Rattus norvegicus: one gene and its partners. The protein of the gene in region 2 binds, or shares a complex with, the protein of the main gene of each other region. Links are inferred from orthologs where the notes say so. Each region holds a gene or a part of one and is shown on either strand. Other genes may lie near its edges.

The links.
Region 1: Sarnp (region 2) and Thoc5 share a complex: the UniProt entries of both Homo sapiens proteins name them as parts of the transcription/export (TREX) complex. The link is inferred for Rattus norvegicus from reciprocal best matches to the Homo sapiens genes SARNP and THOC5.
Region 3: Sarnp (region 2) and Ddx39b share a complex: the UniProt entries of both Homo sapiens proteins name them as parts of the transcription/export (TREX) complex. The link is inferred for Rattus norvegicus from reciprocal best matches to the Homo sapiens genes SARNP and DDX39B.
Region 4: Sarnp (region 2) and Thoc7 share a complex: the UniProt entries of both Homo sapiens proteins name them as parts of the transcription/export (TREX) complex. The link is inferred for Rattus norvegicus from reciprocal best matches to the Homo sapiens genes SARNP and THOC7.
Region 5: Sarnp (region 2) and Thoc3 share a complex: the UniProt entries of both Homo sapiens proteins name them as parts of the transcription/export (TREX) complex. The link is inferred for Rattus norvegicus from reciprocal best matches to the Homo sapiens genes SARNP and THOC3.
Region 6: Sarnp (region 2) and Alyref share a complex: the UniProt entries of both Homo sapiens proteins name them as parts of the transcription/export (TREX) complex. The link is inferred for Rattus norvegicus from reciprocal best matches to the Homo sapiens genes SARNP and ALYREF.
Region 7: Sarnp (region 2) and Chtop share a complex: the UniProt entries of both Homo sapiens proteins name them as parts of the transcription/export (TREX) complex. The link is inferred for Rattus norvegicus from reciprocal best matches to the Homo sapiens genes SARNP and CHTOP.

Annotation. Positions count from the first base shown.
Region 1 is NC_086032.1:84,009,897-84,013,396, reverse strand, and holds part of Thoc5 (THO complex subunit 5 homolog), read right to left. Parts: intron 1,298-3,500; coding exon 1,182-1,297; intron 64-1,181; coding exon 1-63. UniProt on the Homo sapiens protein: Component of the THO subcomplex of the TREX complex which is thought to couple mRNA transcription, processing and nuclear export, and which specifically associates with spliced mRNA and not with unspliced pre-mRNA.
Region 2 is NC_086025.1:1,834,124-1,838,396, reverse strand, and holds the start of Sarnp (SAP domain-containing ribonucleoprotein), read right to left. Parts: upstream 2,801-4,273; 5' UTR 2,643-2,800; coding exon 2,607-2,642; intron 1-2,606. Other genes in the region: Ormdl2 (ORM1-like protein 2), read left to right, coding at 4,157-4,273. UniProt on the Homo sapiens protein: Binds both single-stranded and double-stranded DNA with higher affinity for the single-stranded form. Specifically binds to scaffold/matrix attachment region DNA. Also binds single-stranded RNA. Enhances RNA unwinding activity of DDX39A.
Region 3 is NC_086038.1:3,586,852-3,590,790, forward strand, and holds the start of Ddx39b (spliceosome RNA helicase Ddx39b), read right to left. Parts: upstream 2,801-3,939; 5' UTR 2,734-2,800; exon of another isoform or gene 1,774-2,733; intron 1,417-1,773; 5' UTR 1,290-1,416; coding exon 1,079-1,289; intron 419-1,078; coding exon 291-418; intron 79-290; coding exon 1-78. UniProt on the Homo sapiens protein: Involved in nuclear export of spliced and unspliced mRNA. Component of the TREX complex which is thought to couple mRNA transcription, processing and nuclear export, and specifically associates with spliced mRNA and not with unspliced pre-mRNA.
Region 4 is NC_086033.1:13,705,826-13,708,192, reverse strand, and holds the end of Thoc7 (THO complex subunit 7 homolog), read right to left. Parts: coding exon 2,361-2,367; intron 2,272-2,360; coding exon 2,202-2,271; intron 1,181-2,201; coding exon 1,113-1,180; 3' UTR 501-1,112; downstream 1-500. Other genes in the region: C15h3orf49 (putative uncharacterized protein C3orf49 homolog), read left to right, coding at 15-215. UniProt on the Homo sapiens protein: Component of the THO subcomplex of the TREX complex which is thought to couple mRNA transcription, processing and nuclear export, and which specifically associates with spliced mRNA and not with unspliced pre-mRNA.
Region 5 is NC_086035.1:10,151,281-10,154,626, forward strand, and holds part of Thoc3 (THO complex subunit 3), read left to right. Parts: intron 1-1,726; coding exon 1,727-1,888; intron 1,889-1,979; coding exon 1,980-2,080; intron 2,081-3,346. UniProt on the Homo sapiens protein: Component of the THO subcomplex of the TREX complex which is thought to couple mRNA transcription, processing and nuclear export, and which specifically associates with spliced mRNA and not with unspliced pre-mRNA.
Region 6 is NC_086028.1:106,370,596-106,374,887, forward strand, and holds the start of Alyref (THO complex subunit 4), read right to left. Parts: upstream 2,801-4,292; 5' UTR 2,774-2,800; coding exon 2,537-2,773; intron 2,179-2,536; coding exon 2,047-2,178; intron 685-2,046; coding exon 537-684; intron 344-536; exon of another isoform or gene 231-343; intron 1-230. Other genes in the region: Anapc11 (anaphase-promoting complex subunit 11), read left to right, coding at 3,634-3,742. UniProt on the Homo sapiens protein: Functions as an mRNA export adapter; component of the transcription/export (TREX) complex which is thought to couple mRNA transcription, processing and nuclear export, and specifically associates with spliced mRNA and not with unspliced pre-mRNA.
Region 7 is NC_086020.1:178,287,549-178,291,696, forward strand, and holds the start of Chtop (chromatin target of PRMT1 protein), read right to left. Parts: upstream 2,801-4,148; 5' UTR 2,515-2,800; exon of another isoform or gene 2,432-2,514; intron 1,007-2,431; 5' UTR 990-1,006; coding exon 925-989; intron 1-924. Other genes in the region: S100a1 (protein S100-A1), read right to left, coding at 4,117-4,148. UniProt on the Homo sapiens protein: Plays an important role in the ligand-dependent activation of estrogen receptor target genes. May play a role in the silencing of fetal globin genes.

The DNA of each region.
Region 1 (3,500 bases), on a different chromosome or scaffold from region 2:
CTGGTGACTGGGCCGAGGGCCGCAGAGCTCCCGATAGCACACATTGACTTCACTCTCCATAGCCTGTGGGGGTGGGAAGCCAGCACCTCAGCAACTGATCCTCGGTATGGCTGAGCACATGGTCACACCTTCACCTCATGGCTGACCTGATGGCACATGAGCTACGGCTGCTGCCTGCACAGGAGCTGTACCCAGAGCTGTGCCACAGCCTCACCCAGAGATCCTGTTTCCTCAAGACAATGGGGTCCTGATTACCACCCACTGTCCCACCCCAGATACCAGCAAGGAACACGGGTATATAGAGGAAGACGTGCTCTGGGCCACAGGCTACGAAGACCCACCACGAGGCATGGCCCTGGGCAGCAGCTACAGCGCCCTCACTGAATCTGAGTCTGCTATGGTGCTTCTGCGTCTGCTTACCATCAGAGGCCAAGGTGACTCGACTTCAAGACAAGTTTTGGTTTTATTTTAGAGGTAAGGTCTCACTGTGTAGCCTTGGCTGGCCTGGAACTTACTGTGCAGACCAAGCTGGTCTGTTCTGCCTCCCCAGTGCTGCCACCGCACCTTGCTGAAGGGAGTGTAGGAACCCTGAGTGGATATGTGTTGTTGGCATGAACTAGCCTATCTAGGACTCTCGCCTCAGACCCACAAGAGTACAGCAAAGCCTACCCCTGCCCGACATGAGGCTAGGAGGAATGCCCGAGCCTTTTCTTCTGATCTGTGTGTAGATGTTGATGGTGTATACAGAAAATGTCCACCACAGCTTTCTCTTTCTGAGATTTACAGCCAGGAGACGGTTCCCTATAGTCCGCTCCTGCTGAGGTTGGCTAAACCCACCTTCTTGATCTGTCTCTGTACCACAACCCTGCTTCTCTATTCAACCTTACCTAACAAACATGCTGGGCTTGGGGATGGCCTAAGGTCTCTCCAGCAGTCAGACCACCGGATCCAGCTGTCTGTGTGTCTGTCTGCTCCTCACTGTGTGGCCACCCATCAGGTGCTGGAGTGGTTGGTGCACAGACATTTTGCTAGTTAACAGTGCTAAACGGGAAACACTGTGGGCCTCAGGAAATTAAGCGGCGAGCATGTTCTGTAGATCCTGGTACATCCCTGTCCTGAGACTGACACACTGCCCACCTCTCTAGGGCTCCCTGTTCTCCTGCCACCCATGTGGGCCTTACCCGAATGTTGTCATCGTTGCTGTTGGTTTTCTCCCCTTTCCAGTTTAGACAGAGTCGGAAAACAGGTGGGATGGAGGAGTAGCCAGGGTTCAGTACCACAGCAGCCTGAAGCTTAGCTGAGAAGGGAGAGGCAAAAAAAATCGTGATTACCCAGCCTTCCGTGGTGGTCTCCACATGTCCCAGAGTCAACACAAATGCCTCCTCTAAGTGAAGTGCTGCTGAGTGCTGACACTGACGGTCTTAGAATGGGAGCCGGGCTGCCAGGTCCTCAGGGTAAGGTACAGCGACTCTGGTTCCTCCAAAGACCCTGTTCTACCTGATGGTGTTTGTCAATGGACTAAACCTGCTACCTGGAGAAGTGTCATAATTAAAAAAAAAAAATTGTGTGCATGTGTGTGTATGCCTTGTTTGGTGGTTTGCCTCCATGTATCTTGGCACCGACATGTATGCTGCACCTTCAGGGGCCAGAACAGGGCATTGGATCCCTGGGACTGAAGTTACAGTTGTGAGCTGCCATGTGGGTGCTGGACATTGACCTCAGGTCCTCTGGATGAGCAGCTCCTAACCACTGAGCCATCTCTCCAGCTCCTCTCGTCTCTCTGTCTCTCTCTCTCTGTCTCTCCCCAACTCCTTTTCTTCCTTCCTTCTTATCTTTCTTTAAAAAAAAAAAAAAAAAAAAAGAATCTGTTGTTGCTGTTAAGGGAGTCCCATGTAGCCCAAGGTAGCCTCAGATTCAATACATAATGAAGGGCAACCTTGAACTCCTTATCCTCCTGCTCTAACTCCCACAGTGGACTAGTGGCAAACGGTCCCAGCTTCTCACGTCACATCGGTCAAAGGGAGGCTCTGACAGAAATGTCTCCCAGTGAGTAGCTGCAAAAGTACAAGACTGAGTTCAACTGGAACTGCTGGGCAGCGGATGTGCATGCACAATCAGAGAATAAGCTCTCACATATGAAGTTTCCCTCTGCTGACAGACAGCCTTTGACCCCTTCTTCCCAGGGGTGCCGGGATTAGACACACTCCACTCCATTCCACACGCTGACGTGGCTTCTGGGAACCAAGTTCAGGTCATCAGGATTATGCAGTAAGAGCTCCGACCCACCGGGCCCTCTCCCTAGCTCCCAGATCTTTGGACTAGTGCTTCTGATTTGGCTCCTGTGCATTACCCAGAGATTTATACAAGAAGTTGGCTCCCTGTGCTGCTGCCAGGTTGAACCTGGAGAAGTCAGCTCTAGTGAGAGGTAGTTGGGTTCTGGATGAGAGGGAATTGCCTTCTGAAAGGATTAAGTCTTCTTGCGAGACTCTGCTTAGTGTCCAGAGCACTGTTATAGAACAGCCTTGGCTCCTAACTCCCTCGGCTTCCTTTTCACCTGTGCCACCGTCTCCACGTCGCTGTACTGTCACCTGCCATGAGGCCCCTGGGACTTCTAGCCTTCAAATAGTAAAGCTAAACTAGGCTACACATGGTGGCTCGTGTGTGCAATCCCAGTGCTCTGGAGGCTAAGAAAAAAAGATCAGAGTTCAAGGCCAGCCTGAGCTGATCTCAAAGACAAAATTAAAACAGTGTGGCAGTGCGTGCCTTCCATCCCAGAGGTAGATGGATCTCTGTGAGTTCTAGGCCAGCTAGAGTTACATGAGACTCTGTCTCAACAAACAAACACTCACACACACATGCGCACGTACGTACACACACACACACACACACACACACACACACACACACACACACACACACACACACACACAAAGCCAGTAGGACTGCTCAGTAGGTAAAGGTGTCCTCTCCTCATGACTGGAGTTTGATCCCAGGAACCCACAAGGTTGAAGGAAAGAAGTGACTCCCTCAAGCTGTCCTCTGATAACTGGTGCACGTGTGTGCGTGCACGTGTGTGTCTTACACCTGAATGCACACACATACATTAAATAAATTTAATAAAAATCGTAACAAGCAAACCCACACACTCATGAGCTAAATAAGCCCTTCTTTATTATGCTTCCAGCTTTGGGAAATTAATTTTGTTTAGCTTATCTTTTGTGGTACTGGGGAATAAATCTAAGGTCTCGGGTATGCTAGGCAAGTGTTCTACCCCTAAACTATATCCCCAGTTCACAAATTTTCTTACATCACTCAGCCTACTGACAACTGAAGGATCACACCATCTTCCTCAGCCCAGTGATCACAGCTGAGGTGGGATAGGACAACAGCCTAGCGCCTGAGCATGGTTAGTGGCCTCTGGGTAGGTCCTGGCAGATGTCAGAAGAGGAGGGAACCACAGGGTTCCAGACTCCACAGGGACTGTGTAGAAGGAGGGAAGG
Region 2 (4,273 bases):
AAACAAATACAGTATCCATAAAGGAAAGTCATGGGACAACTAGTGACTTACTCCAGGGTTTCAAAAGGGGAACAAACAAGAGAATACCAAATAGCCCACTAAATTTTAATCTCTTTCACTTAAATATTAATTTTCTGTGTATGTTTTATAATATGTATAACAGTACAGAACTATATAACTTACACAGATAAAAATGGAGGTAGTTGCTCAATTTTCCTTATTTGTTCAAGTAATCATTAGAAAACTTATGATAATTCCATTATAGCTACATCAAGTTAACAGTAACTAGAATAACATAAAAATCCAATAATGAAATTTGAGAGTCCAACAGTTAAGAAACACATTTGCTTTCAAACAATAATGTCACCTTAACAGACTAAATTACAGGAGCTTTTTCTACACACCTTCATTTACAGATCTTAAAGAAAAACAAAAATGCAGCAATTTTTAAGGTTTTTTTTTTTCAAGATTAAAAAAGAGAGAGAGAGAGAGAGAGAGAGAGAGAGAGAGTGTGTGTGTGTGTGTGTGTCACAGAAGCAGGTGCCTAAAGACACCTGAGGGAGCTGGAGCGATGGCTCAGTGGTTAAGAGCACTGACTGCTCTTCCAGAGGTCCTGAGTTCAATTCCCAGCAACCACATGGTGGCTCACAGTCATCTGTAATGAGTGAGATCCGATGCCCTCTTCTGGTGTGTCTAAAGACAGCTACAGTGTACTCACATACATAAAATAGATAAATCCTAAAAGATTTAAAAAAAAAAAAAAAGATTAAAGACACCTGAAAAGAAAATCAGATCCCCTGAAGCTGGTGTGCTCAAGTGGTTGTGAGTCGCTTGACTTTGGTGCTGGAAACCAAACTCAGGTCGTCTGAAAGAAAGCGTGCTCTTAACCACTAAGCCATTTCCCCAGACCCAATTATTAACTTTAAGGGAAAAAAAAGAGAGAGAGAGAGAGTTCATGGATGGAGAGATGGCTCAACAGTTAAGACCACAGACTGTTTTTTCAGAGGACCCAGGTTCAATTTCCAGCACATACATGGAGACTAAAAACTATCCATAATTCTGCAGGTACACATACATACATACATGCATGCATACATACAAAATACCCATACACATAAAATAAATAAATCTTTTTTTTAAAAAATCATCACAGTCCAATAATTTAAAGCAACTATTAAAAAATAAAACAAACAAACAAAACACTGGGCATGGCAGTGCATGCCTCGAATCCCGACACTTGGGAAGCAGAGAGGTAGGATCTCTGAGTTCCAGGCCAGTTAGAGCTACAGAGTGAGATCCTGTCTCAATAAAGAAAGAAAGAAAAGTTCTCAGCTTTTATTAAGTAAGTTTGATTTGTACATGATTCCCAGAATAAGATGACCAAAACAACCAAAGTTACTTGGGAAACAAAACAATAATGAATATAGTTTCTTAATTCTTCTTAAAAAGGAATTATTGTCCTTACAGAATAATAATCGAAGGGCAAGTCTACATACAAGAAAAGAACCTCGGGTTACCAAAATGTACAGCTCAATAGGTCCTGTGGTTTAGAATGTCACCAAAAAATGACACCAAGGTGTCCTGGAGAGATGGCTCAATGGTGAAGGGCATTTACTGCTCTTTGGGACCCAAATTCTATTCCCAGGAACCACATGAGGAACTGCCTGTAACTCCAGATGCAGGGGATCCAACACCCTCTTCTAACCTCCAAGAGCATGCACCACACACTCACAGACACACGTAAATAACAAAATTAGATCCAAAAAGGGGATAGGGGGTGTGTGACACCAAGAGAGCTGGGATTCTTCCCAAAAATAAACAGGGCAAGCAAAATCCTAAGGTTTTCAAATATACTTCATATACCTCCAACGTTACAGCTATCTACCCTATACGTTCTCTCTCTAGTGGTAGGATAGTCAGGAGAGGTCAGGATGCTGAGAACCTCCTGGGAAAACTCGAAAAACTTTTAGGGAAAATGTGTTCGCCATTTTACAACCTCTTAGAGATGCCTCTGCCCCAAGTTTCCACCGAGGAACCTATCTTAAGGCTCCTCCTCTCCTTGGTTTCAAAATTCGAGTCCAAGATCTTAACCCCACCTTTTTAAAAGCACTTTCTGGGTTATGTTTGGGACACATTCAGGTAAACATGCAAAAATGCCACTATATGTTAACTGAGAAATCTCAGCTTTCGGACAAGAGAAGTGACTACACCAATCCGAGAAAAAAAAAAAAACAAAAACAAAAACATAATTGTGGGTCAGCATGGGACACGGGAGAAAGACCACTGACGTAATGCTGATCAAATGAGAACGGAATATAAAAGGCAGAAGGTGCTTCACAGCCGGGTGTGGAAGGGTGACAGATAATAAAACAATGAGAAGAACGGGCAACAACAGGTAAACACCAGGTAACGATAGCAATAAAATACTGAGGAGAAACGGAATTTAAGGTAGGCCTAAGAAAGGAGGCACAAAACTACAGCGAGAGCCAGGAAAGAAGTGTAAGCAAGTGCCTGACAGGAAAACACGTGGAATTAGGCGACGCAGGGCCCCGTGTAGAATTTAGGTTCCAGAAAACCCCACCTCAGCCTTCCCCGCGTAACGGTACCTTCAGCTTGTGGAGCTCCACCGTCTCGGTCGCCATCTTGCTGCGCCTTACTCCACCAGACCCCCACAGCTGCCCCCTCTTCAGGAGCTTAGGCTCATCCAACCAATCGCTGTCATTTTTGCTCCCACCTCACACCAACGGCTCTTCCCATTAGTCAGTGGCGGCGTCGCTCTCACGCCTCTTGGCCACTTTCCACAGCTCTCTGAAAAGGTGGACCCCGGGAAGGGCGGGGCTTGCATGGCCTAACGATAGAAAAGGCGACCAATTGTACGTCCCCATCGCGTAACCAGCCAATGATTGGGGACAGAGCGGATTCTGTTCCACCAATAGGGAGAGCGCAGACAGGGCGAAAGTCGGGCACTTCCTGGAGACCACAGGTGTAAGAGCTGTGCCCCAAGCCGGACGGGCTCCTGAAGCTGGCAGGTATGGGCTGCGTAAGACTTGAAAAGGTTACGGAGAGAAATCGGTGGGAGTATCGGGAAGGGCGGGGAATCGACAACCTTAAATTCGAGAGGTGCCGTGAGGAAAGCCTTAAAGTGACGTGTGAAACTGGGACTCTGGGAGGAGCATGGGCAGACTCTGTACTTGATTTGGGGGATTTGGGGACAAGCAAGAGCGGGTTTTTAAAAGCAAACAAACAAAACAAACAAAAGACCCGGGCATCAGAGCTAGCGGAAGTTTAAAAGCTAAAAAATTGGGTAAGTTCTTGCAGCGCCCCATATTGAGCGAAAGGATGGCGTTGTTTGGCTGCTGACAATGCAGAGCGGGTGAGAGACAGGATGGACAAGCCTCAGGAAAAAAGATGGGGACTAGAGGTAGCTTTACTCTCGGTGCCTTCTTTATTGGTCCCTTGATTAACTGAATAGCTTTCTTGTGGGACTCTGGGTGTGACCTTAACTTCCTCAAGAAAGTAAATTAAAATACTCCCGATTCCCCTGGTCCTTCAAGTAAATGTCACAGTCTAAGCTTACTGCTTCATGTTTAGTTGAAATGTAAAGATCTAACTAAAACTTAAAAGTATTTCTATAATAGTGAGGGCCTTTCCTTTAAAAAAAAAAAAACAACAGCAGAAAAGACACTTAGTTGTCAGTGAGTATACACACTAACAACCGCAGGTATGGGAGTCAGGGGACAGACAGCTTGCAGTAGTTGGTTCTCTTTCTACGGTGTGGGTCCTGGGGATCCAACTCAGGTCTTTAGGGTGGTAGCAAATACCTTCTCCAGCTTAGCCATTTTGAAGACCCTCGTGCCTTTTCATTTGTTTTGGAGAAATGATCTCACTCTAGCCCAGGATCGGCTCAAACAGTCCTCACGCCTCAACCTCCCAAGAGCAGGGATTACAATCATGAGCCACCATGCCCAGCTGCTTCATGTCTTCTCAAGTTTTAACAGAGTCTTCAGTTTTTCCTTTTTTTGCATGATAGGGAAATCCTTTCATTCCCAAGACTTCAGGGGATTTTGGCTTTTCAGGAGACAACTGGGGAACAAGCTCAATCAGGGGTAATGAGGAAACTGAGTTGGACTCCTGCCTGATCCCTCACTGTGGTAGGATGAATGTGGGGGTGGCCCACAGCGAAGTAAACCCCAACACTCGAGTGATGAACAGTCGGGGCATCTGGCTGGCCTACGTCATCTTGGTAGGACTGCTGCATGTGGTGCTCCTCAGC
Region 3 (3,939 bases), on a different chromosome or scaffold from region 2:
GTACTTTGAGAAGCGCTCATATTCCTTGCTGATCTGGAAAGCCAGCTCCCTGGTGTGACACATCACCAGCACTGACACCTTTGAGGGAGCAAATGGAGACAGACACAGTAAAGTCAGTCCCGCATCTGGCAACTTGTCGGCGACAGCAGTTTCTTTAAACCATTATGCCACTCTGCTACAGAACATTCCCCCTGAACTGCCGGAGGAGACCAGCTCTGAGAGCACACAGCCAGAAACAGCCTCCTGGTGGTTCAACCTCAACACCCTCTCCAACACTGCCCCCAACATACCTGCCCAGTAACTGGCTCCAGCTGCTGCAGTGTGGCCAGGACAAACACTGCTGTTTTTCCCATGCCTGACTTGGCCTGGCACAGGACATCCATCCCCAGAATGGCCTGGGGGATGCATTCATGCTGGACTAGAGGGGAAAGGAGAGAGATTTTTATTTTACACCATGCCAAGTCCCCTCCTTCCCAGCCAATGTGTCACATTTTACCTGACCCCATCCTTTCTCTGATCTCCTCAAGACACCCAAATCAAACCCTCCTACCTGTGCCCCGGCTCCCCAGTGCTACTAAGACCCCTCTTGAACCTACCAATGGTTCACCTTCAATGTTCTTGGCTATCTTTATTTTTCTTATAGCGTAACCATCAATGAATCTGAGTGACTGCCACAGATTATTTCTCCTACATAGGTTGCTGGGCTTTGGGATCATGTTATCCTGCCACCTTGAACAAAATGAAGGACTTGGTACCTAACCCAGAAGCCATAGAAGCTAACATCTTTAAACAGATCGTTACGGTTTCCAGGGACCACTGTCAGCCTGGGCCAAAAGAGGGGAACTAAAGGTCCAACCAGGCCCTGAGAGTCCAAATAGCCAAAAAGGTGTAAACCAAAGAAAAACAAAAAACAAAAAACCAGGCAAAAACAAAAGCCTCTTCGGCAGCTAACGTTTTGAGTGCATTCTCAGAGCTTGGCCTAACTAAGTTCAGATCTTATGAACCAAGACACGAACCACATCTGTCTTGCATCCCTGAAATGCTAAATAATGTCTCTATACCCAACAATAAAATGTACCCTCTGATGGATGCTCAAAGCCACAGTCAACAATGGCCCGGAGCAACTCTGGCTTAAGTAGGAAATCTCGAAAGCCGGAGCTGTGGATGGAGACATAGGAGCCCTTGACGTCTTTCTTGGCGGGAGCTTCGGTCCCATCTGCCCCAGCGGCCGTCTCCACCTCATCGTCTTCATAGTCCAAGAGCTCATTGTCCACATCGTTCTCTGCCATAATCCGGCCGGCGGGGGGAGAAGGGAGGTCTCTGAGTTAGGTGTCCCAGAGCAGGTGAGAGGAAGCAAGGGGAAAGAGAGGGGTTGGAGAACAGCAAGGGAAAAGACACCAGTTTCCGACAGAAGAGCTGGGAGAAGGGACGACAAAAAAAAAAAAAAAAAAGAAAAAGGAAAAACTAATCAGTCATGATCTGACTCCTCACTTCTCATCCATCCCTACACCCTTCCTATTTTCTCTAAACTGAAGCCTTTGTCCCGAAAGAAAAGTTAACGGAGACAGACAGACACACACACACAGAGACACACACACGAGACATAAAAACGGAACACCAGACGGGAGAGACAGAGAGTGGCCTCGACCGCCAACCAGATTTTGGATCACACTTCGACAAGGCGGGAGCGAGGATGAGCGTGACTAACGACTCACACGAGGGTGGAGAGACAAAGGACAAGAGAAGACGAGGGGCTGCACTTCCCCCTGTCACCTCGCGGTGTTGAGCCCCAACGTCAGCCATCAGTCAAGGGTGATAGATAAGGGTCAGCACCGCGCGCAGAGCGCTCACTTCCCAATTGCAAACATCATGTGGCTGCCGCTATTCACTTGCTCAGGAACACCCGAGGGCCCATCCCGGCGGCGCACACCCGTGATTCCCAGTGCCGGGAAGCAGAAGCAGGAAGGAAGGGGGTGGGGAGAGCCTATGGTAATTAAACGGTGGCTGCAAGGGTACGAATGGCTCCATTAAAAAAAGAAAATTCTTTTTTGAAAAGGCTGGGTGTCTGGTTCAATGAAGGTGCTCGCTTAGCAACGCGAGAGGCCGCAAGGATCGGCCCAGCGCCGCCACAATTAATTTTAATAGTCACATTAAGGAATTAAGGTCGCAGCTGAGGACGATGCAGCCTTTAGAGTGGTCTTAAAAGCGAACGCCTCGCAGTGCCCTCGGAAGTTTCCCGGAAAGCTTCCTGGAAACCTTCCCGACTACTGCGCCGACACCATTGGTCAAGCACGGAGATAGCCATTTACAGAGAGCTCCAAATAAGGGAGCGTAAGCAGGGGGTCAGAGGGTTGAATGGGCCCGGAGGCAAGATCCTTCCCATCCCTGGCGGACTAAGAAAAGGCCCGGAGGGGAGATGCGAGGGGCCCCGCCCTCCTCCTGGCGCCGCCTCCGGCCGCCGCGGCCTCGGGTGGGCAAAGGACCCACTGGAACATCCAGGAAACGAGGAACACAATGGCGGCCGAGGCCACCATTTTGGATCGTCCCCCGCCTGTCTCCCAGCTCCCCCACCAAGATTTGCTCTCAGAAAGGGATGAAAACAATGGAACTGAGCGTTCGCCTACGCGCCGGCGGCCACACCGCCGGCCGGGCACCGGGTATCAGGGGCCCGCGCGGCGGAATGAGCCGCGGGGCGGGCAGATGGCGGCGGATAGTACACAAGGCCGAGCTTACCTAAGCACTGCGAGCGTGTATGGCGGCAGCAACAGGGACGGAGGCGGGAAGCTGCCTTCACTTCCGGTTCCAGTCTCGCCCCGGCCTCCCGCCTTCCCGGCCGCCAGGGCGCATGCGCGGGGTGCCGGAAGGAGGCCTCGGGCGGCGCGCGCTCCACGGCTGGCTTTGCAGAATGCCCACTTGAAGTTAAGCTTCTGACGCCCCCTTCCGTCGCCGGCAGCAAGAGCGCGACAGGAAGCTCACATCTCTCCCCATCTGATTTCCCCATTTTGTTCTTCTACGCTTCTGCACACCCTCCGACGGTCGGCTTTACTTTTGTTCTGTTTTGTTTGCCACGCCAGGCTTCTCCCTGGGCGCCTCTCTGTGGGCATGCAGGACTCCGCGAGCAGAGTGAGAAGCGTTCTCACGGGGTCCTTAGCCTCGTAGTCAAGGTGACCTGAGAGCGGCTAAGTCTGGCCTCTACTGGGGGGGGGGGGGTCCGGTACGTGACCACGCCCATTACAGTTGTGCAGAGAATAGGCCGGATTTACCCAAAATTATATTGGGAGATGGAGGCTTACATTCTGTCCAGGTGCTAAATAAATGGTGGAGTTTGAGGGTTATGCACCTTTCCATAATTATTACTAACTAGAGCAGCAGAATGGTCTCAGTTCCATTATTCAGCCCGGAATTTGTCCCCCCTAAGTAGGTGGTATTCCCTTTGAGGTGCTACACACGTCAGAAGTGATGACCTGTTGCCTTTCTGCAGAAACATAAGCAGGTGCTTTCCCTATTGAGCATACTTGAAAGTAATACTAAGTAACACTAAGTAAGTATCATTGTTGCCAACCAGCCCGCTGTGTCCTGCTCAACGGATAAGCTCCCTGGGCTGGGGCTTGGTAGCTTTTGATTCCTCAGCCATTTGACAGCTGTAAGCAGCAGGCTGGCAGGTTTTGTATAAATCAGAAAGTGGGGATTCCTCCGTCCCTGGTAACTTAGTAAGAGCTGTAGCTCCAGACAGAGAGGCACCTTTGGCTTTGAAGAGTTTCCAGGAACTCTTCTAGTGACCTAGTTGGAAAGCTCTCAGCCGCTTTCTTCCAGTTACTGGACCTAATGTGGCAGCACCAAGGACGGAGGCATAGTAAGGTTTGTCCCAAGTGAGCCAGGCTTTACAGCCAGCAAAGGGCGTTTGCACCAATCTGGGCAAACAGGGAACTCATGCAAATG
Region 4 (2,367 bases), on a different chromosome or scaffold from region 2:
TCTGTCTATTACAGGTGGACGACCTCATAGAAACAGTGACTGACAAATCCATGAAGCTTTTGGAACAAAGACACGCTGAGCTTAAGCAGTGTGAGTCTCTAGGAGCTGAGATCCTTCAGTCTTCCAAGCAGTTCCAAAGGCTTTCCAAGAGAACCACGAGGAAGTATAAGCTGCGAAGCGCATGCTTTCCCTGCACCTGCTGCTGCTGCTGCTGAGTTCCTAGTACACAGCCCAGCCACAAAGAGGACCCTGCCTCAGACACACAGGGTGGACCAGCAGCAGCCGGAGTCATCTGAATCTAACCCCATGCTACAGCAGGTGCAGTCCCTCACACGTAAACACATGCACTCTGCACGCATGCCCCAAAGTAGGTATTTTAAAAAAGATTCCCCAAGAACAAAACACAGAAGAGAAGCATTTACCAACCATGTTCCTTAAATACTAACAGAGAGAAATGCAGAAAAGCAATGCAGATGAACTGATCTCATACAACAATACAATTTTTTTAAAAGACTTACTGATTTAATGTATATATGAGTACACTGTAGCTGTCTTCAGACACACCAGAAGAGGGCATTGGATCCCATCACAGATGGTTGTGAGCCACCATGTGGTTGCTGGGATGAACTCAGGATCTCTGGAAGAGCAGTCAGCGCTCTTAACCGCTGAGCCATCTCTCCAGCCCCTAACAACAGCTATTCTTAACAGTGTGGAAACTCCCCTACAATAAACACACACACCATTAAGTACTGATCATAGCCCCTCTAAAGCCTATTCTTAGACCACGTTTTCTAAGGAGCTACTAATACCTTCTAGAAATCGACTCATTTTCTAATTTGCAAAGGCAAGCTACCTAGAGTTTTGAATGAGCACAAAGATCCTGCTGGAGATATTTTATTAAATATTTTCCGATGCTGAATTCTAGGTTTAAGGATAAAAATGCATTTAAAAATACATATACATGGATACATTTCCTTGTGTGAAGAAATACAAATGAGGCATGAATTAATATTTGAAAGCAAAGTATTTCACTGCCGAAGTTGAAATCGAACCCAGGAAGCCCATGCAGCTATTGCCTGTCCTTGCGGGCGGACGGACAGCGACGTCACCATCTATGGCTTAGGGTCTGCCTCCATGGCGCTTTCTTGAGCTTCTTCCACCTCTGACAGCTTGTCGTCATCTGTAGTTAGGAAGACACAAAACCTTACTTCATGTCACCTACATTTTGTGCCTGGTAATGCATGAAAAGTTTTATTTTGCATTGGCAAATACATTTTCATCAAGGCAGCAAAATAACAAGTTATGGCTGCAAACAGCCCACATCATTGTTTGTTTTTTTTTTTTAATTTTAAAACATGTATTTATTTTATTTATATGTGAGTACACTGTAGGTGTCTTTAGACACTTCAGAAGAGAGCAGCCCATTGCAGATGGTTGTGAGCCACCATGTGGTTGCTAGGAATGGAACTCAGGACCTCTGGAAGTCAGTGCTCTTAGCGGCTGAGCCACCTCTCTAGCCTCCTTTGGTTTTAAAAACAGGTCAGGGCAAGGGCACATCATGCTCGGCCTAATGACTTAAGCTCGATCCTGGGAACCACATGGTGGAAGAAGAGAACTGACTTCTAGTGGCACAACAAGTAGCCTCCACATGCACAACATGGTTATGTGTGCAGCCCCGTACACACATGTGCACACACACAAATGTTATACATTTGGTTATTTTTACATATTACTAAGAATATATAATTTGTGTGATAGATTTCATTAAACACTAAAGAACTAAAATCTAAGTCGTAGCCTTAATTAAAAAAAAACAAAAACGATCAGAAAACACAGGAAGTTCTACTTGGTTACAGTCACAAGAAAGATCAAGTCTTCAATTTCTCGGTGGGCCCCCCATTTGCTGAGCATGTAGGCAGCCTAATATACCAACAACTTACAGTAGTTTGCACGTGTCCTGAATCATTAGTCAGGAAACACTCCCCATCACTCTTGAAGTTTTCTTATTAGTAGACATGCATGCAAAGCACAGATTACCACAGAATCACTGCTCTTCTGTTTGTATACAGAAAGTTGAACAGAGAGTGTTTTCTAATGCCATCCAGATATAGCACTGGATTCTGGAGGCAGACTCTCTCACCAAAGCACTCCCCAGTCATTTAAAGTCTTCTGAAGCTGCAATTTTGAATGGTTTTACTTACTCTCCAATGTCTGTTGAAGTTCATGGATGGTACTAAGAAGAACGTGAAATTGTTTCCGTCTCAATTCCAGCTGTGTTAAGAAGAAAACAACTTATATAAGTTTATCTCTAAACACACACACATACACACACGTAGAGGCTAACATATATATTCAAATACCTTATCT
Region 5 (3,346 bases), on a different chromosome or scaffold from region 2:
TCTTTCTCTCTTTCTCTCTTTCTCTTTTTCTCTCTTTCTTGTTTATGTATGTTCTTTGGTGTTTTGCCTGCATGTATGTCTGTTTGAGGGTGTTGAATCCTCTGGAACTAGAATTATAGACGGTTGGGAGCTGCCATGTGGTTGCTGGGAATTGAACCTGGGTCCTCTGGAAAGAAAACCAGCCAAGTGCTCTTAACCGCTGAGCCATCTCTCCAGCCCCAGGAAGCATTTCTTAATTCTGTATGATAATGTATACTTTATCTCTATTTCTCATTGCACTAGCAATTTCATGGTGGAGAGGACTGTGTTTATGTTTTCCATTGAATTGCTAACGCAATTATTAAGACCTAGGTAGGTCTTAATAGTAGGATCTCAGTAAGTATTTGTTGTATGAGTAAAAGAAAATGTGAAATAAAGATTCAGGGCCCCGAGGCCGTGCTATTGCAGTGCCAGGGAGGAATGCGAGACAGATGGCCGTAGTTTCTTTGGTTGAGAGGATGAAGTTTGCTGTGAGTCCTGTAGCTTTTAACTTTTCAAAGCCTACTTTTTAATGATGGTTCTTAAATGCTTTTAACCCTCCCTTCTAGCCCACTACCCACCAGAGGTAGTGGAAAAGAAAAGATATGGGGGAAGCGGACCTTTTTAGAAGTTATTCTTTGGAGCAAATCCCATCTGAGTTGTCGGGAGGTCAGCAGTTCAGTTCACGGGTCAGCAGTGGCAGCTCGACCCACTAGGAAATACTTCATGAATACATCAGTGGTCCAGTTCGGTACAGTCAGGACAGGAGCATGAATCAGCAATGGTGGCACGGCATAGCAGACACAGCCAGGCCACCTGAATTGGCATGAGTCAGCAGGAGGAACCAGGACAAGTAGGGATGCCAGGAGTTCTCTTTCAACGAAGAGGAGGTTGGCAAAGACATGAGAATTGTACAGCTAGCTCTGCAAGCCCCTCTCTTCCCTATTCCTGCTCCTTTCAAATATCGAGTGTGCTCCATGGGTCTTTTCTCATCCCGTGTTGCCTCAGCACATGAGTCTGTCTTAGCAAAACTCTGTGTGAGTCTCTATCAACTGACATCCAGAGGCCTTGGAAGCGGCAGCATACCACCAGAAGTTTTTTGGTGTGCTTCTCTATGGACCTCAACCAATACAGCGCATCCTTTCTCATGTCTACTTCAGCAAAATGTTCCTTCATGAGTCCGCCTCAGCACAGATGGATTCATCTGTGTCTGCTTCAGGAAAAAACTCCGTCATGTGTTTGCCCCAGCAAAACACCATCTGACACAACTGACTTTCCAAAGAACCCTTAAGTTTCCACTTCAGAACCCCAAGTTAAACGAAACAAGACAAAAATCACATTGGCAGGGATATTGAAGGAGTTATATATTCATAGACCTGGATACTGTACTGGGCTTTACTGTTTGTGTATTGGATAGTATAGCTAGGTATCACAGTCCTGGATTTGCTTCTTCTATGCCTTAGGTGTGACACTCTTACTTTCTTTTCCTCCAGAGTGATGCTCTCAGGAAGCCTAGAGATGGTCTAATTTTCTGTGAGGTCCAGTAGCCTCACTGGTTCATCTAGGTGTTGGTGGTCTCGGTCCTGTGCTCTTGTACTTGGGCAAACCTTTTGTTTCTTCCTGTAGGGATGTTTTTGTTAGTGTTTTCCCCTTGGTGTCTTAGTGCCCTGGCCCTCTTCTGCACACTGATGGCTGTCTTGTCTCTCAGCTACCCAGAACTGAAGCCTGTGCAGTCCATCAATGCCCACCCTTCTAACTGCATCTGTATCAAGTTTGACCCCATGGGGAAATACTTTGCCACAGGAAGTGCGGATGCCTTGGTCAGCCTCTGGGACGTTGACGAGCTAGTGTGCGTGCGGTGCTTTTCCAGGTATGTAGCTGACAGGCTTTTCTTGTGGGGAATCAACCTTTCCTCCCCCTTTGGGGGTAACTAACTGATGTTTCTCTCCATCCTGTCATAGACTAGATTGGCCTGTGAGGACCCTCAGTTTTAGCCACGATGGGAAAATGCTGGCGTCGGCTTCGGAGGACCATTTCATTGACATAGCTGAAGTAGAGACAGGTATCTTAATTTGACTCCTTCGAGATGATGCCTGGCCTCAGGCCTTCTCTGGGCACGTTTTAGCTGTGTGATACCACGTCACTAGTGGTATCAGATGGGTTTGTTTTGTTGAGATATTTGTTGATAGGATTGTCAGCTTTGTGTAATGGTGGGGCGGAAGGGCAGGAACAGAGTGCCAGGTCTGAAGAGAAGCGCTGTAGGAAAACACTGCATTTGCATTATTTCTTCTGTTATCTAAAAATACATTTTAAAAAAAAGGTAGGGATTTTTGTTTGTTTTGTTTTGTTTTTTTTGAGAAGGGTCTTACTTTGTAGCCCTGACTGGCCTGGAACTCCCGATGTAGATGAGACTGTCTTTGAATTTACAGAGCATCTGTTCCTGCTTTCTGAGCGGGGGTTAGAGCAGGACGTCATTTATGGGTGCTCCTCCCAAGGCCCACTGCCTCCTTTCTGACACCTGTCGGGTTTCTGTGTTCCTGGGTTTTGCTGCTTCTTTGAAGTTGTTTGTAAATACATGATTTTATGTATCTGTAAAATTAGGACCCCCAAATGAGAGCACACATGGAATATTTGTCTTTCTGGTGAATTTTGTGTGATTATCACCGAGTTATGATAGCCTTTGTCTTGTTTTCTTTCTCCGTAGCTGTGATAAATGCCCTATGACAGCAGCTTCACGGGGGAGGGGCTTCTTTGGCTCACACTTAGTTACAGCTCACTTCGGGCTGGACAGTTGAGCAGAGAGCCATGAATAAGTGTTTGTGCACAGCTGCCCTTCTCCTTTCAGTCCAGGGACCCCTGAGACCCACGCTCCAAGGGTCTTCCCACCTCAAGGAGCTCAGTCAAGAAAGCACCTCACAGGATGGCCGATCTAGACAGAGGTTCACCGAAATGCCCTTAGCAGACTGTTTTTAAGTCAAACTGACCAACACAGGCTTAGTTGAACCATCTGCAGTATGCAGAATACGTCTTGAGGGCTGGTTATTGATCTTGGGTGAGCATTGCCAGCCATTCAGCAGTGTGGGGCCCTTAGGGAGCGGAGGCTTCTTAACTCCCTCCACTCCCGACCCACGGGGCTCAGGCACAGCTGTCTGAGGATTTTCATCCGGCCGTGGCTGTGTCAGTAATGGAGCTGGTGTGACCACCGTAACTTGACAGCCAGTGTGGGGGCTGGGTCAGGTCACCAGGTTTGCTTGGCGAGTGAACTCCTTTACCAGCCTTGCCTCTTTCTGTCCATTCTTTAGAGGTAGAACTTTTCGTATGTTTCTTT
Region 6 (4,292 bases), on a different chromosome or scaffold from region 2:
GCACCACACCCTGGTCTCCATGCAAGCTCTGGAAAGGGCCTCTGTGTGTCTCCAATGCCCCCAACAAGATAAATGGCCTGGAGAGCCTGGTGGGAAATGAAGTGCAATAGTAACCCCACCAACACCTCCTCACTCCTTCTCAGCTCAGGCTAGGAGGGCTGTTTGGTCAGGTGTTCAGGGTGCTCATGGGCAGACAGGTGTGGGTGACCTGACGGAAGAAGAACAGGTACCTTTGTCTTTACGACTACAGCCCCGCACTCAGGTTGTACTATGGCGGTTCTGAGAAGGCTTCACAGAAGTGAATCTTCCGGAAGGAGATCAAGGAGGGGAGGGATGTAGCTTGCTGGATGGGGGTTCACAAGAGGTTGGTCCAGATGTGTGGGGCAGCATGAGAGGTGGCAGAATGGAAGAGAGAGACAAAGGGGCAAATGCAAAGTGTCCTCAGCCACAGGGGCAGCCCATATTCCTACAGGGAGAGGTGCCAGCCCCAAACTCCACAAGCCCCACAGGCATCCAGGGCCCAGCCCCAGACTCACCATCCAAAGGGACACCATTGTACTGTTTCATAGCCTTCAGGGCATCTGCTTTCCGTTCAAAGTGTACATCTGCTGTCCCTAAACTTCGTCCAGAGCGATCATAGTGCACAGCAGCTTTTTTCAACGTTCCAAACTCGGCAAACAGTTCCTGGGAAGTGGAAAGAGTAAAAATTAGCAGAGCAATGAAGCCATTTTCCTTCTAGTAGCTTGGCAACACTTATATGAGCACTCGTGCTTGAAGTACTTTACTGACAGCCACTCAGGAAGGGGGCAAGGCAGTGCAATTAAGAGCTGAAAAAAAGGATGTTCTATATCAAGAGAAATGGCAACTTTCACAAACACTGGGGTTCCTGTCCATTTTGGGACTGTGTAACTACACCATGACCGTGAGGGAAGACACAGAGTCCTGTCACAAGACAAAAGATTAAGAAACCTCTTTCACCAAGGGTACCTACAACTTGCTTAATGGCTGTTTCACCAAACAGCAGAGACCAAAACTAAAACTTTCCATAGAGCAGACAACTCAAAGGGCCCACTGATTTGGGAGCTGTGATCCAGCCCCTACCCCAAAGGCAGATTCTAGCTCACCTTTCCCTCTCCTCCTACTCAAGCCTGCTGCAAAGTCTGAAGTCAAATGCACCATGGAACCTGCCCTGACTTTAGGCAGCCTGGGAGGTGGAGAGGGAACCCACAGTGTGAGGCACTTCAGCTGTAGACACATAGTGGGAAGTGGAGTTCACCAAAAGTGGTTTCCAGTGGATGCCAGAAACCACCTTAAAAAAAGTGTTGAGACACTGAGTACTCACTAGCCTTGTTTTTTCCTCCCATGGCAAGGCCAAATGGCTTAGCTCTGGGAAATGGTACCTGGAAAGGCCCAGTACACCTGACCCAGCTCCAGCTATGTGGAAAACCATCTCGTAAAAAGTTGCCTTGTAACCAGAAAACTCTAAATGCCTTTGAAGTCCAGTTTAAAAAAAAAAAAATCCAAGGGGTTGGGGGAGAAAAAAATATTTCAAAGGTATGGAGGACCACAAGCCCTGATGAGACCCAGGAAAGATCACCAGTTAAGATACAGGGATTCAGGCTGGAAAGCCCACAGCCATCATTCACAGAATGCTGTCGGGTATCTGGGGAAAAACCTTCCTTATCTAATCAGTTCACTATAATGGGCACAAGATCTGAGAAGCAAGCAGCTTCTTCTGTCATATTGGAACCTCAGTTATGGCCAGTTTGTGTGGGTTAGAAACTGGAAGTTCTGGCAGAGGGCTGATGCTCATGGTTTGTACAGCAGAAAAGACTCACTTTTAGGGGTACACAGTTTATCTGCAGCCTGGCTTATCGGTCGTGTTCAATCAAACACAGGAGACACAACTGTTTCTGAGGCCAAGCCTCTCAGGGTGACAGCGGCTGGCCCTTGGGCAGCCTGGGGGAGGGCAGATTCCAATCCTTAAGGGATTCTGGACCACACGTCTGTGTGGGATGAGTATAGCGGACAGCTCCAGACTCCTACCTGAATATCAGCGTCTGACACTCCGAAATCCAGGTTTGACACAAGCAGCTTCCCACCCGTCTCCACGCCGGCTCCACCCCCGAAGCCGCTGTCGAATAGGTCGTGCTGCCACTTGTCGGGAAGTTGTTTCGGCTGAAGAAAAACCGTAAGGTCAGAGACTCCTGATCCTTCACCCAGGAGCCTTAAACACCCCAGCGACCCTCTCACGTCTGCCCGCGGCCAAGGTCGAGGAGCCGGGAGAGTACCCCAGACTCACCGCTCCACTGCGGCCGCCAAACTTTTCTCACAGCAGCCCCCGCCGCCATGAGGCTGGACCAGGACGGGACAAAGCCTCCCGGAAGATCCCGGCCTCAGGCCCGGCCTCGCCGCGCGGCCTCGCCCCCGCCCACCCCTTCGCTGCAGTTCCCGCGAGCCTCGCAGGGCGCTCTCCCGGTTCGGTCGTGCCGAGCGCCCTCCCGCCCCGGTCCGTGCCGCACGTCCCCGTACTCACTCTGCTGTATGGTGCCGGTCGGTTCCTGCCGCCGCCGCCTGCGGCGCCGCGGGCGATGGCGGGCCGGTTCCTCATAGGCCCGCCGCCTCGATTCACCCGCGCGGCGGCCTGCACTGCGCCGCCGCGGCCGCCCTGGGAGCCGGCCCTGCCGCGACCCCGGCCCCCGCCGCGGCCTCCTCGCTGGCTCCGGTTCAGCTTAATGATGTCGTCCAAAGACATGTCCATTTTGTCGGCCATGGCGGGCGCGGATTCGGGCCTCGTATCGAGCCCGCGCGTCAGCACGCTGTAGCGTCACTTCCTGCGCCTCCCTCTGCGTTCCGGCGTCCCGGGTCTGAGGCGCCTACTGATTGGTCTCCGCGCGCGCGGATCCGAAGAGCGCTTACGTACAGTTCTCTGAGGCGGCTGGCGCTCCTTCTGAGGAGCCAGACGCGGCACGGTCGTTTTTATACCTTCCCGCGCGGAGGCAACGGAAGGGCGGGGCGCCTCGTGATTAGGTGGTGAAGGTGCGAGGGCGAGGAGGGGGCGGGGCCTGCTTGCGCCTCCCCCGGAGGCCGGAAGACCCTCAGCGTCGCCTGGGTGCCACGCAGTGAGCGCTCCCCTTCTCCGGAGTCCCCTCAGGTGCGATTCCAATGGGTCCGGGCGGGTCCGTGGGTCCGATTTGGGTTTTGTTTGTTCGAAGGCTGTCTCCTAAGGAGCTGGCGTCTGCAATCCAGCTGTAACTTCGAGGATTAGTGACTGTCACTCTTCCAATTCCTTTTAAAAGCGAGGCCCTGGTTAGGGAAAACCAATATGTTTTTCGTGGGTGCAGAGGTTTTGTTTGTTTTTGTTTCCTGTTTGGCTGAACTCAGTGAGATCTGCTTTTGCCCCCGGATTAAAGACCTGGGTCAGATTTTTATAGACATTCTTGAACGTGGCAAAACAAACTCGGAAGCGAGCTATTGCTTCCAGAGGCTCTCCTTGCCTTCTTTACAGACAGATACGTGCTTTTTTTTTTTTTTTTTTAATTTTGGAGTACACGACTTTAATGCTCAAGTGCTGTAGTGTTACATACTAATAGGTACGTAATCCTCTTCCCTCAGGTCACAGACTCTGCTGTCATGAAGGTGAAAATTAAGTGTTGGAATGGTGTGGCCACTTGGCTCTGGGTAGCCAATGATGAGAACTGCGGCATCTGCAGGATGGCGTTCAATGGCTGCTGTCCAGACTGTAAGTGGCTCTGTGCTCGAAGAACTTCGGGGCTGCCCTACTAGCCTTGAAAAACCCTCTCTGAGTTTTTTTTTTTTTTTTAAGATTTATTTATTTATTATATATAAGTACACTGTAGCTGTCTTCAGATACACTAGAAGAGGGCATCGGATCTCTTTTACAGATGGTTGTGAGCCACCATGTGGTTGCTGGGAATTGAACTCATGACCTCTGGAAGAGCAGTCGGGTGCTCTTTTAACAGTATTTTTTTTTTTTTTTTAGAATTATTTATTTTATGTATATGAGTACACTGTAGCTGTCTTCAGACACACCAGAAGAGGGCATCGGATCCCATTACAGATGGTTGTGAGCCACCATGTGGTTGCTGGGATTTGAACTCAGGACCTCTGGAAGAGCAGTCAGTGCTCTTAACCTCTGAGCCATCTCTCCAGCCCCAGTCGGGTGCTCTTAACCGCTGAGCCATCTCTCCAGCCCCCTCTCTGAGTTTTGAGTTCAGCCTGGTCAACAGTTCAAGTTTCAGGATAGCTAGGGCTACCCAGAAAAACCCTGT
Region 7 (4,148 bases), on a different chromosome or scaffold from region 2:
GGATCAGAGCACCTTCAAAGTCCACTGAAATAACAGAGACACGTGAATTATGGAATGTCATTATATTCTAACATGTTACTCAGTAACACACAAATACAGGTAATTAATATAACACATCTTAAAAGATGAGTAGAGAAACACATGCTTTAGAAGCAAACACAGGCATTAAATGCCTTGGCTGTTCTAGCAACAACATAATAAAATGGTGAAAGACACCAAATAAAATTCTCAGAAACAAAAACTGTCTTTAACTACTTTAACTTTTCTTAAATCTCAAATAACCATTCTTTCTGACTCAGGACTTCTCTGAGAAGGTTAAATTAGTTAAGTCACTTACGAGCCTAAAAGGGCATTCTAACATTCCTGTAATGAATAAGTTTAATGGAAGTAAACACACAGCTGTTGAAAGATTTCAAAACACAACAAACTAAAAAGCAGAATGGGAAGAAAGTGAAATGGAGCAAAGCAAGTGCCTCTTACAAGGCCCAAGAATGACATTCAGGGGCCTTTGGACATAGTTTTGGCTTGCTACCTGCCTCTTACAGGCCAGACACAACACTGCTGGCCTTGGACTAGATAGCAAGCCGAATGCAGCCAGGATATACCATACCATCGTGCTGCACCACCCCTGTATCAATGTTAGGAAAAAAAGAAAAATCGAAGGGAAGGTGTGAGGAGTCTTTTAAAAAAAAATATATCCCACCAGGTCAATATGTCAGATAGCTTAATATAAAAATCTACTGATAAGGGGTTTTGAAACAACTGCCCAATTTGTTTGTACCACATTAGATGCAATCAATTAAGAACAGAAGTCTGTAGCCTTCTGTCATTTAGCTTACAACTGGCTTTTTTGTATTGGACCCCAGGGCCAATTTAAGTAATGTTTTCTTAGGAAGGAGCTGAAGTTGCTGTTGGCTGCCTCACCGCTCATTTAGAGACATCTTGGTGGTGCTTTTTAGCACAACTTTCGGCGCTGACTGTGCAGCCATCTTCAAATCCCGAGAATCTACAAAGGACAATATGCATAATGAGTCAATCAAAATAATGAAGTTTGCATTTTCACAAGAATCGAGGCATAAACCCATGAGAGGCCTATACTACTAACTGCTGAAGATGGTGTCATGAGAACTTAAGTTTGCCATGTGGTGGTGGTGCCCACTTTTAGCCCCAGCACTCCTGAGGCAGTGGTAGGTGGCTCTCTGTGAATTCGAGGCTAGCCAGGTCTACAGAGCAAGTTTAAGGACACAAGCCAAGCTACAGAGAAACCCCATGGGGTGGGGGCTTAAGTTTAGATGACAGTTATTTCCATTTATCAAATTTCAGAGCCCCAGGATGGAGAACATCTGCCAAAGTCAACAAAATGGCAGAATCAGATGTAGCCAAAGCCTAGGAGTTTGGCTTTCAATCTGGAATAGTTCTTAGCCTGGGCTGAATATGATTTAGCTGAGGAATGTTTAAAAAAAAAAAAAAACAAACTAAATTTTTGATGTCTGGATCCAGACAATTAAACTACAATCTGGCCATGACGATGGGGTACAGCAACTGGGGCTAGGGGTGCTACCTACCCAGGTACATCTTACATGTCTACAGAAAGTTGAGGGCCACAAATCTAGAGAAATGGAGGAGCTGGGAATACAGCTCAGCAATAGAGTGCTTGTCTAGCACTGATGAAGCCTTAAGTTCAATTCCCAGCAGCAACAGAGGAGTGGTGTAACAGGCTGAGGACATCAAGGGTTACACTGTCACATTATGAGGCTCCGACTCTCACACACTCAAAAGAAATGCCAAGTTTCAAAACTGATTCTCAACTCCAAATGCAAGTGGAGCTCTAGAAAGACATGGCAGGGGAATGACAGAAAAGGTTTTCTCAATGGGTATTCAATCTGAGAGCTCTGTCAAGAGCAACTCCACAAAATTTAACTGTAGGGGCACATACTGGGAAGGGCTGAGGCAAGAGGGTCACAAGCTAAAGGCGAGCCTAAGTGACTTCTGAGACCCTGTTTCAAACTAAAATTATTATTATTTTTAAAGCTGGGGATATTAACTCTGGGCGCTAGACTAGCCAGAGCATAATTTTGGATTCAATTTCGGTGCCGAAAAAAAACGAACACCCAGAGCCGCCGCTAATTCCTGTATTCCTCATTTAACCTCCACCTCAAAGCCTCTCAAAAGACTTTGGTCAGGCGCTTATTTCCGTTGTTATTCCCATCAAACGCTATTCTGGGGCGAGGCTTGGGCTCTGATGGAGGGCGCTTATCTACATAAGCAAGAGACTAGATTTGGGGCCAAAACCAAACCACCACCACCAACCACCACCACCACACAAGCCAACCAAAACCAGCACCAACAATCCTGCTGGCCCGCTTGCTGGCCGCGGTTCCGGCTTAGCCTCCGCCTCCCGGCTCCGCCCCCTCCCCCGGCCTTTGCTCACCTCAGCCCCATCCGCACCTGCCGTCCGCGCCATGTCCCGCGCCCCCTCGGCGCTCCACCTCTGCTTTCACCACAGAAACTCACCGAAGGAGATGGACGCCAGCGCTCCTCCCGGGGTTGCCACCACGGCTGCGGCGGGCGGGCCGGAGGCCGGCCGAACCCGAGCTGACGGCGGACCGCTCGGGTTAACTAGCTGGGCGGTTGGGTTAGATGCTTAAACGGTAGGTTGCGAGGCTCCCTTGTTGTGGGTTGAGTATTTAGCCGACTGATCCTCCCGCTCGTCAAGCCAGCCTTTTCCTGCCTTTCGTCTGTGCCACCACAGCCGGCGCCGCCAACTCCCGCTTGGTGTCCAAAACAAAATGGCCGCCAGGCCCACCAGTGCAGCGTGACCGGCTAAAATGGCGCCGACGGGCTTGCGTCATTGCGCGCGCAACTAGGGGCGTGGAAAAATGGGCCCTTTGGCTTGCGCAGGAGTCGCAGGCGTATCCCTACGGACTTTGGCAAAGATCCCTTAAGTTACGTGTAGTGCTCCGCCCTTGGGGGCGTGGTCAGTGGTCACAATCGCTAGGTATCTTGACTACCTGCAGGACAAGTTTATGCCCTACTTTGTTTGGGGTTTTGGTTTGCAGAGAGCAGCTTAGATTGGAAGCAGTGTTTATATTCTTTTATTTCCCAAGTTAAAGACCAAAAGTAAAATCTTATTAGGACCTTAGAACCTCGCTGATTTGCTCTGGCCCTCTTCTCATCCCTATTTGTATTGTTTTTTTCTTTTTGAGGCAGGATTTCTCTGTGTAGACCAAACTAGCTTCAAACTCACAAAGATTCATCTTCCCTCCTCACTTTCCCCCTCCCCCCTCACTGTACTGGGATTGAAGATCCACATTGGATTCTGCATCCTTTTATAGGGACTGCTGCTAGAAGATGTGGCTAGTTTTAGGGTGGGTCTTTTCACCTCACATAATACAGTAAAGCAAATCTGTATCCCCACTAATGAACCCCTAATTATTACATAATGTCTAGCATTGATGGTACATCAATAAACAATGAAGCTTGGGAAAAAATTCTTCAGGTTTTTTTTGTTTGCTTGTTTGAGACAGGGTCTCTCTAATGTAGTTCTGGCTGTCCTGGAATTCTCTATACAGACCTGACTGGCCTTGAACTCACAGAAATCCTCTTGCCTTTGCCTCCCAGGTGTTGAGATTAAGTAACCATGGTATCTAATGGTAGAAACCATTTCTAGCTTTCTCCAGGTTTCTTGATGGCTTGTTTCTGTTTTTAGAGACAAGATTTGGGTATGTAGTATGGGCTGGCTTGGAACTCAAAATCTTTCTGCCTCATCCTTCCAAGAGCTGGCATTATTACCAATTATTGATACAAGTCCTTAAAGAGCCAGTAACACTTGGATTTCAGCTAAAATTTTTGGGTCCCTACAATTCTGGGTTTTGAGTGTTCCTTAAGTAAGATCTAGTGTAAACTTTCCAAGATAAGGTGTTGAGAGTGAGTCAGACCCAGAGGACACAGACATTGACAGTTCGTGAGAGAGAAGCTTTATTAAAACTAGTGGCAGATCTGGACTGCTACTGTTGCGCCTTTGGTGCATGTTGAGCCTGGGCAAGGATGGGTACATAGGGAGATACAGGTGGGATGAGGAGCAAAGAGGGAGGGCGCTGCCTACTGAGACTGTGCTCAACTGTTCTCCCAGAAGAAGTTGTTACAAG